4 linked regions of the Schizosaccharomyces pombe genome follow. The protein of the gene in region 1 binds, or shares a complex with, the protein of each later gene. Each region holds a gene or a part of one and is shown on either strand. Other genes may lie near its edges.

The links.
Region 2: cox24 (region 1) and sws2 share a complex: the UniProt entries of both Schizosaccharomyces pombe proteins name them as parts of the mitochondrial small ribosomal subunit.
Region 3: cox24 (region 1) and mrps16 share a complex: the UniProt entries of both Schizosaccharomyces pombe proteins name them as parts of the mitochondrial small ribosomal subunit.
Region 4: cox24 (region 1) and mrps8 share a complex: the UniProt entries of both Schizosaccharomyces pombe proteins name them as parts of the mitochondrial small ribosomal subunit.

The regions. Positions count from the first base shown.
Region 1 is NC_003424.3:4,760,991-4,764,723, reverse strand, and holds cox24 (mitochondrial 37S ribosomal protein mS38 ), read right to left. Parts: upstream 1,682-3,733; 5' UTR 1,646-1,681; coding exon 1,489-1,645; exon of another isoform or gene 1,447-1,488; coding exon 1,076-1,446; 3' UTR 502-1,075; downstream 1-501. Other genes in the region: ypa2 (serine/threonine-protein phosphatase 2A activator 2), read right to left, coding at 1-275; splicing-associated factor Saf3, read right to left, coding at 1,850-2,917. UniProt on the Schizosaccharomyces pombe protein: Component of the mitochondrial ribosome (mitoribosome), a dedicated translation machinery responsible for the synthesis of mitochondrial genome-encoded proteins, including at least some of the essential transmembrane subunits of the mitochondrial respiratory chain.
Region 2 is NC_003421.2:980,643-987,110, reverse strand, and holds sws2 (mitochondrial 37S ribosomal protein uS13m), read left to right. Parts: upstream 1-1,956; 5' UTR 1,957-2,119; coding exon 2,120-2,400; exon of another isoform or gene 2,401-2,470; coding exon 2,471-2,645; 3' UTR 2,646-2,867; coding exon of another isoform or gene 2,868-5,562; 3' UTR 5,563-5,619; coding exon of another isoform or gene 5,620-5,900; 3' UTR 5,901-5,965; downstream 5,966-6,468. Other genes in the region: P-factor pheromone Map2, read left to right, coding at 427-1,032; vid21 (NuA4 histone acetyltransferase complex scaffold subunit Vid21/Eaf1), read right to left, coding at 2,868-5,562, 5,620-5,900, 5,983-5,991. UniProt on the Schizosaccharomyces pombe protein: Component of the mitochondrial ribosome (mitoribosome), a dedicated translation machinery responsible for the synthesis of mitochondrial genome-encoded proteins, including at least some of the essential transmembrane subunits of the mitochondrial respiratory chain.
Region 3 is NC_003423.3:553,924-557,809, forward strand, and holds mrps16 (mitochondrial ribosomal protein subunit S16), read left to right. Parts: upstream 1-1,901; 5' UTR 1,902-1,969; coding exon 1,970-2,046; exon of another isoform or gene 2,047-2,475; coding exon 2,476-2,656; intron 2,657-2,922; coding exon 2,923-2,955; 3' UTR 2,956-3,325; downstream 3,326-3,886. Other genes in the region: sre2 (membrane-tethered transcription factor), read right to left, coding at 1-201. UniProt on the Schizosaccharomyces pombe protein: Component of the mitochondrial ribosome (mitoribosome), a dedicated translation machinery responsible for the synthesis of mitochondrial genome-encoded proteins, including at least some of the essential transmembrane subunits of the mitochondrial respiratory chain.
Region 4 is NC_003421.2:330,919-334,135, reverse strand, and holds mrps8 (mitochondrial 37S ribosomal protein uS8m), read left to right. Parts: upstream 1-1,569; 5' UTR 1,570-1,652; coding exon 1,653-2,111; 3' UTR 2,112-2,656; downstream 2,657-3,217. UniProt on the Schizosaccharomyces pombe protein: Component of the mitochondrial ribosome (mitoribosome), a dedicated translation machinery responsible for the synthesis of mitochondrial genome-encoded proteins, including at least some of the essential transmembrane subunits of the mitochondrial respiratory chain.

The sequences.
Region 1 (3,733 bases):
GCAGGATTGCCAAACCTCGACCCCATATTATCAATTGCAGGATTTTCCTGTTTAATTTCTCCAACTCGATCTAGTATATTTAATACATGCTCTATTGATGAGCTTTGCGGAATTGAAGCTGAAATAGGCTTGTCTTTCACAGCTTCGTCAAGATCACAAATAAACGAATCAATTAACTTATAAGCATCTCCTTCTTTAAATAATTTTAAGTCTTCATTGTCTAAAATTCGTCGGACAGGAACGAAACACCGGTTTTGCTCTTCTCTAGAAAGCATGTTGGCATAACTTGATCGGTTAAGACAAGATTAACAAAAGCCTTAAAAATTATACAGTTGGACGCTCTTCAATATTCCTTATGTTGTTATTTGTTATGTCAGTCGTCAGTACGTTACATTTCATTATTGTAATTAGCTATAATCAGTGAGAACATTTTTTAAAGAAAGAAATGTAGAAATTTTTTTTTTTTTTTTCAAAATTGTTTTAAGGAAATAATTTCGACTACTAAAGTTATTTTTCATACCAATGTGTTCTTTTATTCTATGTGTAAACAGATACAGTGTAATAAGCGTTTATTAATTGCTTGATATACAACAACATATTTATGATTCACATGAAGTGTACATGTCATTAATTCTAGCCATCGACAAATATTTAAAAATATAAAAAGGAAGGGCCAAAGATGGAGGTATTGTAATAGTACTAGACATGGGAAGCTAATTGATATGAAGGAGATAGCCGGCATAAACAAATAAGTGCTCCGCTTTTTGAAAATAGTTAAATAAACGCGGATTGTTTAATGATTTTATCGCAAGAAAAAAGCACCGACCTAATTGTCTCATACCGGAACATTAAAGGATAGAATATACATGAGAGAAAATGTATTCCTTGTTAAAAAAGCCTGAAGTAAACATTAAATGATTAAACGTTTCTTAAGAAAAGAGAGGTACTGATATCCAAGTTAAAAATAGAGACTCATAAATGCTTGCAGCCATTTTGAAAATGCTTGTTTACAGCTTAAACTCTCAATCCAACCAACCTAAAAATATAACCCGAGTAAAAATAAGTTCTAATAATCTCATTTTCCTAGACGTTTCCTAAGTGCTCGTTGTCGGCGTAAGCGCTTTTTGAACTTATGTTTATTCATTTTCAATTTTCTTTTTCGTTTGACACTGGTCAAATCTAAAGGTGTAATAGAAATCAGCTTATCACATATTTGTTCCCATACTTGAGTAGATATACGAGCGGGTTGAGTTTGAGTTACGGATCCAGATGCAGAGAATGATTGAGCATACAAATAGCCATCCTCTAAAGATAACACATATTCCTGGGGTTGATCTTCCTCATCCTGCGATTGCGAAACTTGTGTTTTGGACTCAACTTTAGGCACACATATTTGATTAGCTGACAAAGGTCGATATCCAGCAAAGAAATTTGCTTTTGCGATTTCTACGCAATGAAGTTAGAAATAGAAGTATTTAATTTACTTACGACGATATGAAACGTGTGAAGTTGTAGGAACCGTTGGTAGGTTATATTTCGACCCAACTTCGGGAGAAGCTGAAACATGCCAAATCGGTATGGGACTACGCAGTGAAAGGCCGTTTAAACCTTTTAATATTGTGGAAAGCGCACCTCTTCGTAACATGGGTGACCAAGGCGAAAAATGTGTTGTACTCTTTGCACTGCGGGAAGGTAAGAATTGGTATGCTTATGCTAAACACTTACAAAGAGGAAGGGTGGTGCACATTTGATATTAATTCAGAAGAATGTTGTATTTAAATATATATGTGATGTTAAATAAAATTAATGCTAAATGAAATACAAAATTGTCCTTATGTATATACAGATGTTAGGTACGTTTTCGCTTCGAGAGTGGGCTGTCAGAATGAAGTCCACCGAGACGATGCAAATTTTTTTGCAAGATTGGGTTTTTAGGATCATACCAAGCAGATCCTTCTTTTGTAGTATCTTCATTTGCCAAATGCGTCCAGCGTGTTTGGCCTGCCTTCGCAAAAAGATCTCCCCTAATTTGCATAGGTTTGGGTAATAAATCTTTATTAAGAACTTCCCCTTCTGTGGCTTCTGAATAATCTCTTTTACTCACAATATCTTCGTTTTGATAGAATGCACCCTTATGATAGTACTTTTGTAAGAACTGCATAGATGACTTTTTCTTTCCTCTCCGACTTGCTTCAGCGTCCTTCAAATCTTGGGCTTCGCGTTCCTCAGAATTCATTAATCTTCTTTCTTCAATTGCCATCTTTTCCCTTTCTAATTCCAGTGACTTTTCCTTGTCTCTCTTTTTCCTAAGCAAATGCCTTAATTTCCATAATTCATATTCACTTTGCGGATCAATTCCATCGGTATCATCGATATCATTTAATAATTCATTATTGTTTTTAGTTTCTTTCAATAGTAATTCCCGTTTTATAGTCTCTTCTAATATTTTTTGTGAAGTCACTTTTTTAAGCACCTCAGTATCTTCTTCATTGGCTTTTGCCCGATTTTTGATGACTTTACTAGTAAATTTTGGCGGAAGAAGAAGTGTCCGCCTTCTCAGCTCCATCTCATATTCCGAATCAGAAGAGTCTTCTTCTTCAGAACTAGATGCTGCAGAGTTAGATCCCCCTTCTGCCGATGATGCGTCAGTCTCATATTCTGAAGCAGAGTTATCAATTGTTTGGACTGGGTTAATGTTTTGGAAATTAGAAGACGTTTTGGTTTCAGATATTCCTTCTTTCTCGAATACTGGAGTAATAACATGTCTTGATGAAGAAATCGAGTTTTCTTGATCATGTGAATCGGAAACTTCTTCATAATCACTTTCAGAAGAAGACTCACTTTCCAGCCCTTCCAATCTACCAGAGCGATATCTTGAAATAGGTTTATGGGGTATCAACGGTGTATCTATTGGCATCTTGACAAACGCTTTTTATTAAATTGGTTGGCAAATTTCAATCAACCGGTAAAACAATATAAATATGAATTGGAAATTATATATCTATTATCTACCACCCAAGATAAAACTGTATATCTGATATAATAGATTGTATGTATGCAATTTGTGGTACGGTGCCACTTACAAAGAGGTTTCGGGGCACTTACCAATGCGAGAACAAATATCACAAGCACACATTCTAGTCAAATGAACGAGAATCCTGGCATAATTTATATTTAGCTGAAAGTTTGTAAAATTGAATTGCCTTTTGTAAAATACATCGTTTCAGTTTATGGTCAATGTAATGTATTTCCAAAAACAACCGTTGTCAACCCTTTGAGACCTTCATAAAAATTATTTAGATGCTACATACAATATATCCTTTGAAAATACCCTCCTATAATTAGTAAAAATGATGTACTTTTCAAGATCCTAAAATTCGTTGAAGTGGTTTTAAAAAATATAGAGTTCTTGACTTGAAATCTGTCAGCATCTCACTTTTTCATACCAAAATAACTTTGAAGAAATAAAACCAAACGTATACTTGTAATTTTGTTATATTGATTATATTTCTCAATTCAATTCACCTTCTAATTCTAAATACAGATAGCGAGCGCTGGCAACTAGCAACAATAGTGAAGTTAAGTTCAACTATCGTAATATAACCATTAATTGAGAGTACATACTTCCCAGAGCTTGATACTACCGTAAAATAGCAAAAATCAGGTGCATATAATTGGTGCGACGTTGAGAAAACAAAAGTACGAACGAAATATTCATCGAAACTCTCTACAT
Region 2 (6,468 bases), on another chromosome or scaffold:
CAACAATGAACAGTTTGAAAGCATAGAATTCCAGATTTGAATTGAGGGAAACGGAGCACTACAAAGATGTATAAATACAGGCATTCTGTCCCAGAAGAAAACCAGAATTCGTTCAAGTCTTCTATTTTACATATTCACTCTTTCTATTTCTTATTCTTCACTCTACAAGAACTCGCGTTGGGTGTGAATTTACATCCCTCTTGTCAACAAACCTGCTCCGTTAGCTAATTTTCTGTAAATTTGCTTCGATCTTTCTTATTCTAATCTTTTAATCCTTTTTCTTTTGGAATTTTGCCTTTTTAAACTCTCCCTTTTTTTGAATCAGTCAACAAATTATAATTTTCTTCTTTTATTTGCTAGTTCATCGCTTAAACTATCTTTCTTTTTCTAACTTATCAACGAAATTTTATTTTTTTCACATACATTATGAAGATCACCGCTGTCATTGCCCTTTTATTCTCACTTGCTGCTGCCTCACCTATTCCAGTTGCCGATCCTGGTGTGGTTTCAGTTAGCAAGTCATATGCTGATTTCCTTCGTGTTTACCAAAGTTGGAACACTTTTGCTAATCCTGATAGACCCAACTTGAAAAAGCGCGAATTCGAAGCTGCTCCCGCAAAAACTTATGCTGATTTCCTTCGTGCTTATCAAAGTTGGAACACTTTTGTTAATCCTGACAGACCCAATTTGAAAAAGCGTGAGTTTGAAGCTGCCCCAGAGAAGAGTTATGCTGATTTCCTTCGTGCTTACCATAGTTGGAACACTTTTGTTAATCCTGACAGACCCAACTTGAAAAAGCGCGAATTCGAAGCTGCTCCCGCAAAAACTTATGCTGATTTCCTTCGTGCTTACCAAAGTTGGAACACTTTTGTTAATCCTGACAGACCCAACTTGAAAAAGCGCACTGAAGAAGATGAAGAGAATGAGGAAGAGGATGAAGAATACTATCGCTTTCTTCAGTTTTATATCATGACTGTCCCAGAGAATTCCACTATTACAGATGTCAATATTACTGCCAAATTTGAGAGCTAAACTCATTTTATCTTCATATTTTTTTTATTTTCTAGTATGTTAGCCCACACATCTTTACAAAGCCATGTGAAGCAATTTTTTAAATTAATTGCTATTTTCGATCTATTATTTTACCATACGATCTGTATTCCTATTCGCAATAATATTTTTAATTTTCATCTTAGTCTTCATATTGTAAAAAAAAAAAAAAAAAAAAAAAAAAAAAAAGAAAAAACGTATAGTAGTTACAATATTACTGAAATCTACAGTACTATACTTCTTTCAGTTGCTTTGTTTTTTAAAGTTAAATAAAACATCAATTTAAAAACTGACTATTAAACCACATGATTTGCGGATTGCTTAAGTAATAATAAAAATGAACACTACCAATTGTGTTAAGCGATAAAATTAGTCATATCCCATATAAGAAGAAAGCACTGAAGTTTCAATTGAAATGCGGAAAGCTACTGCTCATTTAAAATGCCTAGGACCTGCACAAGCATAGCAATGTAAAGGAGCTGCACTTGAAATATATATGACAGTTGAGATCCGCAAAGCATTGTTAGAATATATAAAATTTTATTCCAAAACTTTTTACTGTACTTCCGCATGTACTGTTGAACATTCAACTTTGTAAGAGACAGTAATGTCGTGAATATATTTTTCAATAATAAATTTTAAACTGAGACCATTGAACGAAGGGATCATTTGAGTTCATAAATTTTAAAATTTGAACAGAAAAGGAAGGCCTTTGACGATATCTCTTCTTTATTTGTTTTTCTTCGTCTTACCTTGCCCTATTTATGGTCTTCTTAAACATCAAATTACACCTTAGATAGTAGCTCTTTAATGATTACTCAAATTGTCTTTTATTACTAGGCCCGGAGTCTGTACAATCTAACTAGTTTTCTAAAAATATGAGAGATCCAACTGTGTATTATATCTAAACACCACCACTCCACTCTTTTACAAGAAAGCCTAATACTTATATTCAGAACGGTTTTAAGCTCTCTGATTACTGATAGAGAACTGAATTACAAAACCAAATTGTCCACTTCATTATTGAGCTGGTTTCTGTCTCATCTGTTGATATCTGAGATTTTGCATCATGGTATACATACTTGGAGTGGCTGTAAACGACGATAAACCTGTGCGGTTTGCTCTACTTTCTTTTTATGGAATTGGACATGCCAAGGCTGAAGAAATATGCGCAAAATTATCATTTCACAATACGTTAAGGGTTCGAGAGCTGACAAATGTTCAATTGACAACGTTGTCGCAACTGCTATCAGGAATGACTATTGAAGGTGACTTACGGCGTCAACGGAATGCTGATATCTCAAGATTGGTGAATATCCGATGCTATCGGGGAATGAGACATGTAAACGGGTATGAAAAGATCATTTGTGAACGTAGCTGTCTTCGACAACTTTTTCAACTTAACTAATGAATATTTCAGGTTACCCGTTAATGGACAGAACACTCGGACGAATGCAAAGACTGCTAAGAAGCTAAACAAAGTCCCACGACGAGGTTATATGACACTGTCGCCCGCTTCTACAAGGCCCATCACATGGAGTTTTTGTCTACCGAGAATGGTGTCTGTCTTTCAAAAATTAAAACATATTCATTAGCTAAAATAACGTTTATGAAATCAAACTTCACTTATCATGTACACTTCGTATTACCTCGATTTGCTTGATTCTGTTAAAAAACCAACAACCGGGATACGAAAATGAAAACGTATTCTATTTTTATTGTGTGAGAGAAAAAGCTCTCGCCTCGTAATTTCCTTCTAATATACAACAGCACTCAAAAAAAATACAATAAATCGAAAAATTGCATTGAGGCGATACTTACTGTGTCCTTTCAGTAGTAGGTACAGTTTGCTTCCTTTGCTGCAACTGATGAATTTGTTCAGGTGTTAGTTTTAAAGAACTGGAAACAGCGTATGGCTGAAGCCTGGGGACCATTCTACCAGCTATAGGCGAGACACCCGCTGATGAATTGTTACTACTATTTTGTGAAGCAGCTACAGCTTGAAAGGCTGCTAGTTGCTGGTTGTGTTGTTGTGCACCAGCAGCAACAGCGGCGTTTTGCGGCCGTAGAGCCCTGTTTTGTGATTGCAATTGTGCAAAGTTTCTCTGAGCCTGTATTTGCTGTATTTGTGCCTCACGCTCAGATTTCAAACGAGAAAGTTCGAGAGGGGAAGGAACCGGCGGCAATTTTTCAGTTGAAGCTGCAGATGGTGCAATCGCTCTCTTGGTCATAGTGGGTTTTTTAGCAAACTCTCTCTTTTTAAGGATCTTTCGTATAGCTTCAAATATAGTAATGGGTCGGTAATGTCTTGATACAGTTGGCAATAAGAAGTAAGAATTATGTTTAATCAAATGGTTAGGTGTTCCTTCATCCCGTAAGGATAGATGTTGGCTAACTTTATCCGAATGTCTTAAGGATTCATCTAATTTCTGCTGAGCGAGTCTTGCATGGGAGCCAGTCAATTGGACATTGGCGGCTCTGGGATCCACTTGAATCCATCTTTCAAAACAATCCCACGCAGTCCGCTTCTCGGCAAGCGGTATGTACAAACCTGGTGGTGTTAACCTACTGGCAACAAATTCCCAATTAAAGGAATATCGTCGCAAGAGTAATAAAAGGAGTTCATCTTCTTCGGGCAACCAAGGGGCTTCTGGACGAATATCTTTACTAGAAGGCGGATACGGAGGCCGCACACTAAAGGTTCCTACTGAGGATAGCTTCTGATTATCATCCTTAATTTTATTTCCATCTAGCTGGTTCTCATCGCTTCTCGCCTTCTTTTCCATAAACGACTCAGGTGGTGATAATTCCAATTGGTTGAACAAACGTTTCCTAGAAGCCTTTGCACAGGTGGATTTAAGCTTTGTTTTGGCATATGCAAAACGTGACACAGGAGTGATCGGGTACTTTTCAGATATTTCTTCACAATATTCATTGTTTTCAGTAGGAGGACCGTACATAGGAACGTTTAAAACGCAGTTCTGAATTTGTTCGGAGTTTGTTGTCACAAATATATCATCCGAAAAAACAGCATTATAAAACTGTAAAGAATCCCTGGGAATAGAGAGCACTTTGTTGTTATTATTATCATTTAGATTAAAATGGCTCACTATTTGTTCATTAAACGTTTCCTCGTGAGAGTCTTTCTGATGTTCATTCTCTTGCATGTACGGCTTCTTATTCTTTGACAACGAAGCCGGAGTACAAACAGTACATTTATCACTAGCTTGATGGTAATCCATTACCCAATTCGCCATTCTATGAGCCAATATAATTTTCCATTTACGCTCTTGAGAAAAATCAATTGACATCCATTGCATCTCATCCAAAACATAATCCCGATGAGTTTTCAATCGTGGCATCTCGTTTTGTCTTTTGGGCTGTCTAAAGGACCAAATACCTTTTTCTTTTGCAACCGTTAAATGATGTAGTGATTGTCGTACAATTTCCTCGCGATACGCATGAGACCAGTTATCTGATAGAACATATTTATGTGCATTTTTCAACCTTAAATGTAAAGGCGACATTTCTGTTCGAAGCAGCCATGCTTCTGAGGAAAGCTCTGGTTTCACCGGTTCAGAAAATTTTGAAGGAGGAATTAAAGTTAGTGGCATAGATACAGAAAGTTCAAAAAGCGGAGCTTCAACCCCAGTTCTGTCAATTGTAGGGGATTTTTCCGATGGTAACTTATTTTCCATTTGTAATTTACTAGGCTCAACAATTTCATCTACTGGCTTCTCGTTGACATCAACCGCTACTTCCTGAACAGGAGATTCAGTGGCCTTGTCAACGGAAATGATTTGTTGTTCCGAAGGAATCTCTTGATTATTTAATAATTGTATAGTTTTTTCAATATCAATACCTGATTGTACATTCTCAACATCATTTTCAGTGACCTTGGCTTCAGGAGAATGAACTTCTTCAACTTCATCAACCTTTGGGACTTTATCTTCAATTTCCAAAACTTCTGCAACAGTGACAGGGGGAGCCGTAGGTTCCGTTGTCTCTGATACCTCTTTCTTTTTCACTTCTTTAGACTCAACTTGATCAGTCGCAACCTCTACCGGTTTGGTAACGGTCACATTTTCTTCATTCCCATCTTCCTCATGTTCCTTTTCGGTAGCTTCAACCACTCTTAATTGCTTATCGACTCCTTCTTCTTGAGAGGATTTGTTTGCAAGTTCTTCGGTAAGCTGTCGAGCAGCATACTCGCTATCTGGCGTCAAAGGGCCTTTTTCCTCTTCAGCATGAGCAGTGGTTTCCACTTCTTTTACGGGTGTTGTTGGTTCAATAGTTTCTTTCTCTTCTACGTCAATATTTTTATGTATAGTTTCAGGTGAAGGTATGGGAGATTTTGACGTTATAATTTCCTCCTCGCTAAGTTCTAGGGAAGTTTCTTTTAAAGGTGTCTCCTCTGAAACTCCTTCCAAATTATCGGGTTCTTCGGGAACTATCGGTTCTTCAACGATAGGAGTTACAGATTCTCTAGCTGAAAGATTAAAATTTCGCCCCCTTGCATGTTAGTTGTACATTTGAGGAAAATACAAAAAGTTACTCAATGAGACATACCTTTTAAAACGATACTTTTGATAAAAGTTAAACCACTCAGAAACTTGCTCTGGTAAAAGATCACTTGATGAATGAAGCCATTCTAATCCATTAGGAAACTTGCAATGCAACCAAAATAAAAGAAGTAACTTTTCATGTTTCTCTTTTGTTAACTTAATCTCTTCATTGTCTACAGAGTCGTTTTCTTCTTCTTCGTCTAGAGTAAAAAGGGAGGCAAAAGAATCTGTTATCGATAATTTTTCACCATCGACTAAAGCAATTTGACTGGTTTTGGTCTCCTTCTTTTTAATTAAAAATATTAATTAGTTATCGAAGTACAATAAAATTATCACTTTAAGGCCCGTAAGACTCGTAAAAACGTACCTGTTTCATAATCCCAATTTAAGCGGAATTACGCTGGAAAAAGCATACAAATCGTATTCTAGAAAAGACACAGTTTTGCTTTTATATTTATTGTATGATGATATAAAGAACTCAAGGATCCTGTATACTTTCAGACCTAATGTGAACGAAGTTAGTCTGATGGTGTTGAGGCCCCCCAAGGGATTTGAGCCCGCAATCAACCACCATATTAGGTGAAGTAGAAAAACAAGGAAATAGCACTCTACTAGGACACAGTTTTGAACTACAAGTACAGCAATAAGACTGTCTTTTATTTTCGTCTTTTTGTTGCTCGGAGAAATCGCTTGTTCTATTTAAAAGTTGAGACGTTACCATAAAGGTTATCGGCATATTTCAAAGCTTTAAAAACGTTTCCCTTTCAACTTAAATTATTCAAAAATACATTCAGTTGAGCTACATGCCAAACCTACTATCATATCATTCTAAAAAAACTATCGTTAAGTGATC
Region 3 (3,886 bases), on another chromosome or scaffold:
ACGAGTTCCTACAGAGGGCACGTGGCTTATAGGGTATGAAGAAGATGCTGAAGACGAAACTATGGATGGGTGCTTGAAATCCATGATATTTGAGCCATCCACATAACTGGATGGATCAGCGTTTTCAGTGGGATTGGAAATCGCAGTGTTTTCGAGTTGACGATGAATATCCTTGAGCGACGAGTGTTGGGAAGGACACATAGCGAAGCGAATACCAAACAGTCGTTTTGGATATGAGTCAAGGAGAACGAAAGGTATTTATAGGTATTTAAAGAATGAAAAGTTTCCAAGACAAAAAGAGAAAGATTAAAAAAAGAAAAAAGAAAAAACACTCAGTAGTAATGGAGAGAATTCGAATTTCCGAACTTCTTGTTGATGAAACGCTAACCGCAAAAAAAAATTTAACAATACACCGTTTAATAAACGAGAAATTAGAAGAAAAGCGGGATTATTTCAAAAAAGGAGAGGAAGCGAAAACTAAAGGAAAGATAGAATGGGTGGAAATTGTAGTAGGAAAGCAAATAAAATTGGAACCCAAGAAAACGCCTATAGTAGTTGTCTTTGAGCGAAGGAAAGTATAAAACAACAAAAAATTAGGTTTTTCCTCTTTCAAGTTGAATTATTATGAAACCGGGTTGAACAGGAATCTTCAAGGTAAGCGACCCCAAGAACGCACTCGTTCACGAACTAACCAAGTAAACGAGACAAGATGAACAAGCTTGACAGGATAAACAATGAAAGAAGAAAAACTTATAAAAACTAAATATATAAAGGGGAATATAGTAAAAATTGGCCCCCAAGCTGCGTTATAAGGAATTGACAGCAATTATATGATGACGGAGAAGAAAGGAGTAGAAACTGACGCAAGGCAGGATGTAAACGTCAAATCTTCAGGTGTTCCGATATGTAATGAGTCTTAAAACTGCTACTAGCCTAAAACCTAGCACCGTTCATCCACAAAGCGATGTCCAAAGAAACGTTTCAATCCGATGTTCCTATTTTGCTTGAATCCGTCGACACAACACACTGACTTGACAGTAACCGGGAGTACGATGGCAAAAATCAATGTCAGTGGATCCAGCAATTCGTAACAACACCAAAAGAATGGGCAATTCAGAACAAGATCAAAATGCTAACTAAAAGAAGCCTAGGTGTTGGGAAATCTCAAAATACCAATTAACCGAACTCCCCAAACAACGATTCGTACGAAAGCAACAAAAACCCTCTAAGATTCAATCAATAGCTTTCTTGATCACTAGAAATTTTCAAGAACGGATGGAGTTAAATATTCAACAGGGATGCGCAATCTACGCGAGTCTTAAGTTATGTTTTGCTGTCGCTAAGTAGAATTTATGGGAGGGAGGAAAAAGCTAAAAGTAGACGAAGCCGCTTAAGCTAAGGAATGTCTATAGCGATTAACATTACGTTATAAGGATTGCGTGGTGAAAAGAAGGTTGGCAAACTACGCATTACATGAGTAACGTTCGTTTATGGTATCTCGTATACGCATTCTACAATCGCTTACAGTATTCCTGTTTAGCAAACTCGATACAAGCAAAGCATACCTTGAACAACGTGGAGAATGCTCGCTTTGTAGTATTCGTGTTACCGTAATTCGTGCTGTATCTCACTCCGGGGGTAGTGAATATGATCAATTCACACTGCTTATAAAGAGAAATAGAGTCAGCAGGAAGTAGAAAGATAAATGGAAGGAAAAGAACGTAATTTCTATCCCAGAAAACGTTTGAAATGATCTTTTGAAATTATGTTTTGTTTGTAAGTATGAACGAAAAGCAAGGCACAACGCTATTTTATAAACAACGGAGTGCACAATACGATACGTCCATCTGCTTTCCATCCTTGATACCTGCATTGTCTTCGTGTTTACTCAAGTTGCTCTTAACCATACTCCTACCACCAAGTGGGAAAGACGGGATTTGTAGGACTCGTTGAAAACCGGCTCTTCTCAATGGTAGTAAAAATTCGTTTGGCGCGTCATGGCGTCAGAAATAGACCTTTTTACCATATCGTAGTTGCGAATGCATGGTAAGTAGGATGAAAACATACCTAGACGGTTGTTTCGTGTTTTACAACACTTGTAGCGGTTCACGTAAAGGGGAAAGTTTTTGTACAGGATTTAGTAAGGGAGATGGCTTGATGTGGGTTATGAAAGAATGGAAGATAAAATGCTAAAAGACTGCTTTTTTTTGACGGTTCCTTTGGCTCTAAATTGCGATCTTTTTTAGAAGCTTTAGTTTTCAGGTATTCCTGGATGCTCTCATCTATTTAATCTAGTCTTTCTACATAGTATTCAAAATGCCAAGGACACCAACCACAATTTTTCTTATTAATTGACTATTTATTGTGGTTTGGCCCCCTTGGCCTCTATTAACTGTTTACATATCACCTGTACATCCTTTTTTTTCTCCTTCATCCATTCCTGTCTTTTGGTTCGACTTTGTTAACTCAATATAGGAAAGCACCTCAAGCCAAACCTATCGAAACCATCGGCACTTTTGATCCCATCCCTAAGAAGATTGATTCTCAGGACTCCATTCCTCGTATAAAAGATATCCAGCTCAACGTTGAACGTTTTAAATATTGGATAAGTGTAGGAGCACAACCATCCGACACCGTCCGCTCTTTAGCTGAAAAGGTATGCCCAAGCTCTCTTTATCTATTTTTATGACTAGTCCAAATTCGTTAAACTTTCTTTCAACTCTCTTTTTTGACTAAAATTTTCGACCCGCTTGCGATATACCGCTCGGGTGATTTTTCTCATGTTCCCTAACTGCCCGGCTTTCCGAAATGGAGTGTAGGATCTCATCCCTGTTTTCGTTACGATTTGGCTACTAATTTACTTGTTTTACTTCTTTCTATCAATCTATCAATTCTTACTAACGTTACTTTTTTCACTTTTAGTTCCAGTTGCTTCCTAAAAAACCCGTTTCTTGAAACTCACTATAATCGTTATTGCTCAAGTCATGACATTTCTTTTTTACGACCACTTCACAATGTCTAGATATCTTTAACACATTTTTTATTTTTTTTTACACTTTATCTCTGTGATCACGCTAATTACCTCTCTCAACTAAATTTCATAATTTTTGACCGATTTTACCCTTCCGTACTGTTTTTTTAAAACCACGTTTTTTGGCTGAGTGCGATATTTGTTTTCTTTACGATTCTTTTTATTACAATATCACCTTTTTTTTTTTAATTCCTTCTCCACATTATCGTTAGCGTAGTGATATCTTAATTTCTAAATTTTTTAAAGTGTCTATCTATCTGAGGTTATGCGCTAGTTGAAAGCGCTCATAATTTGATGCTATCCATTTGTAATTACTTGTTGCTTTGTACTTAAAATTGTTTGGTAATGAGAAATCTTGGTACCAATATTTTGCCTTTGTAATTTTTAGCTTTTGCGTTTATGGTTAAAATGGATCTTCACTTTATACTGAAACTTCATTTCGTTTACTGATGTTATACCCTTATTTTTTTAGAAACAAATTAACAGCTTCATTTCAAATATTTAGGTTAATATCGGTGTATCTATTATTGCTTAGATTTTTGGACTTTCCGTTCGGAAACGGCAATGCGCTTTGTTGCTTTCCTGATTTCCTCATTCGTTTAATTGGAACTGAACACGTTCATTAATAGCCAATTGCAATAGTTGTACAATTCTAACAAATCATTCCTGTACTTCCGTTGAATTTATAAAAGACTTGTCTCAAAGGATTTAAAATCGTTCAACAATGAATATTAACAACTTAATCGTTTGTAACAAAATATTATAAATGGTGAACTAGCCTTATAAGCTAATTTATTAACTGTACCAGAAGCAATTTACTTTGGTATTATTACCATATTTCATCAACCAGTCCAA
Region 4 (3,217 bases), on another chromosome or scaffold:
CTACTCACTCTGAATCATAAAGGACGAGTTGGCTGAAGACAATTCGCTTTGGCGGTTGGAAGCTTATATATACCAAACCCTAGATTAGGACTCATCATAGTTGTCTTGTATATAAAACCTACTTGAGTTATAAACTATATTAAATCAAAAAACTATCAAGAAAATATTTTATTTATCACTTTGTTATTTACATGCTTAATACATTCGAATTTTCTATATACTAAGGTCTATTTCTATACTTCTCTGAGCACGCAAACGCAACATAAGTCTTATTTAATTTCTGAACATAAGAAATATAAGCTTATCTTTAACAGCTTTTCTTAAATTACCGCATAATTTTGTATAGGTTTATGTTTTTTTAAAGGTTCCAAATCGACGGATTTTTGAGTTTTAACCCTTCTTTCTTTATATCGTGGTTGTGATTCAATAAAAGTGAACCCAATTGTTATTTGTAACCATTGACGAAAATTATAGTACATTGAATTACTATTTGTTTACTAGTTCTATATTAACAATACCGGGAGGTTCAAAATCAATGATTACTACTTGTTTTCTTTTTCTTGTTATATTTGCTTGCTTGAAATCCTCTTTATAGTTATAATACATTTTTACAACCTGCTTTTGAGAATATTAATCTGGCAACTTTCAAGTAAATGATTTCGGTAATTGCACTGATTTTTGAAAAGTGTTGATTTCGAACGTCTTTCAAATTAAAACGGACATTTTTTTATGAAATTAAAATGCCTTGTGCTTTGTGTAATACTCGTTAAACAGCTTACCGAAACTAACAACCTTTTTAAGAAGCGAAACTTAATTAAATCAATATATTATACTGAGTAAATCAGTAATTTCTGGACGATCGGCCACATAAAGAAGCATTATAAATCGTTCTCCATACTGTTAGGCTTTTGTTTTCAATTCACGTTTTCTTTTCTGTAATTAAAATATCAGTAAAGAATTCGTTATGCCATTATTTTATAAAAAATTTTTATAATCCTATACAATTGTGAATTTACATTGTATTCAAATGCTTTTTTACATCCCTATATTTTACAGGCGTTCGCTGTTGTACCGCTTGTTTTTTTGAACACTGCTTATTATAATTTTTTCGATTATTACATTTGCGAATACCTTTCGAGGATTTTGGAACTACTAAACGCACAAAAATTCGCTTCCCACTTCTGACAACTTTGTGGGTTTCATGGTAATTTGAATGCTATAATATTAACAGATTGACACAGCGATTTAGATCCATATTTTATTCTGTACAAAGTAAATCTCTAACATTTGGTAGACGGCTTTTGCCGTAATAACCGTTGGTTTTGCAATTTTGCGCCTTGTTTTCCAAACATAGTAAACCGGTGCTTTTAGTTTATTATATAGTGATTTATTGTGAACTTTAGTATCGTGTCGTTAATATACTACTATCCAGTGATTACTGCAATGTCCATTAACTTGCTAATAGTGTGTAACACTAGCTACACCGTTCACTACTTACTATTCTTCCAGTACAGAGAGAGGTATTTGGAAGTGACTAGCTAAACTGCATTCATACCTCTTTTCTTTCCTCAAAACACCATTCTGTATAGAAAAAAAAGGCTTTTATTGTTGGACTGCTTATAAAAGATTAGGATTGTGTTAAAAAAGTCGAAATGCAATTGCATTATGTTTTTTCGCATTTGCAAAATTCATTTCGCGCTCGCAAGTCGTTAGCAAGCGTTCCTAACTGTAACAGTGTGCTCGAGTTATGTGCTGTTTTGTATCATCAAGGATTTTTAAGCTCGATTCAACGCGGAGATATTCATGGACCCGATGCTTTACCCACAATCACCACTAGGCAAAATGTAGCGACCCGCCGTCTATGGTTGGGTTTAAAGTACTTTGAGGGAAAACCGGTTCTTCACTACATACGTGCAGTATCAAAGCCTAGTAGAAAGGTGAACTTGACTCCTTCTGAGTTGTTGCAATTTGCCAAAGGAAGGAAAGTTAGCTTTGTGAATGGGTTGGAGCCTGCAGAAGTTGGAATTGTAGAAACTAAACATGGTATAATGAGTATTGACGATGCAATTAAGAATAATTTGGGAGGAAACGTTATATGTCGAGTTAAATGAGGCTTCGATGGAAAAAGTTATTATTACGTACAACTTCTTTCCGGATACATTGTCTCCTTTCTCTATGTTAATAAGAGAATAAACATTACTCATTTGTTTTGAAAATTGAAGCAATATCTAACAGGCTGGTTAGATTTAAACTAATATGTTTAAGTTTTCCTTCTCTTCAGCTAAGGATCAATGGCAGAATTCCTTTTAAATCTCCCACTCCTTTCATAATAGTTTGTGAATTGAGATACTGCATATTTACACATCCCATTCATTAAAAAACATAGTCTTAATTCCCATTCCGCCAAAACATAAATCCTTTTGTTTTACTATTATTCGACTTGTGATTTACGAATAAATGTTTTTTTACACCTGAATTTATCCCGTCTCCTTTTGTCAACTCACAATATTCCATATGCTTAAAATTATACCCGCAGAAGCTTTTTTGGAATAGAAAAAATATTTGTGTTACTCTAGTAATGTAATGATAAACATGTTTAAAATACATAAGGAAAATCGTTTTATAAAATATATAATCGATGGAGATTGTATGCGACTTCTAAAGCATTGTGTAAATTAAATAAGGTTGATTAAGTACATAGGAAGTATTTACAAATGTATAATCTGTGAATGACAAGGATATGTATTTGTCAATACTGCATTTGAAAAATATATTATAAAACCATTATTAAGAATACAATTTATTTAGATCTATAATGACTATGGATAACAACTAGTCGCAATGGTGTAGTTGGGAGCATGACAGACTGAAGATCTGTTGGTCATCGGTTCGATCCCGGTTTGTGACACTTTTTATCAGCAATTACAGCTTTGTAAATAAAGCATTTAACACAATGAATTTTGTGCCAACGCTGAGTAGGAATAATATCTTTCTCTACATACTCTTTAACTGGGCAATCCTGGTAATGTATTTGAGTAATTAAGCAGTATTGAGTCTGTTTTCATCGGCATTGTTATTTAGTAAAATGATTGATTGATGAATGTACACTCTTTCGTTAATTGCAAGAATTTATGCTGTGATAAACAATCATTTGCGCCTTGGATTTTAAGTAGGCTAAGATTTATTTTAAATACTAATGATGTTGTAAATATAAAAA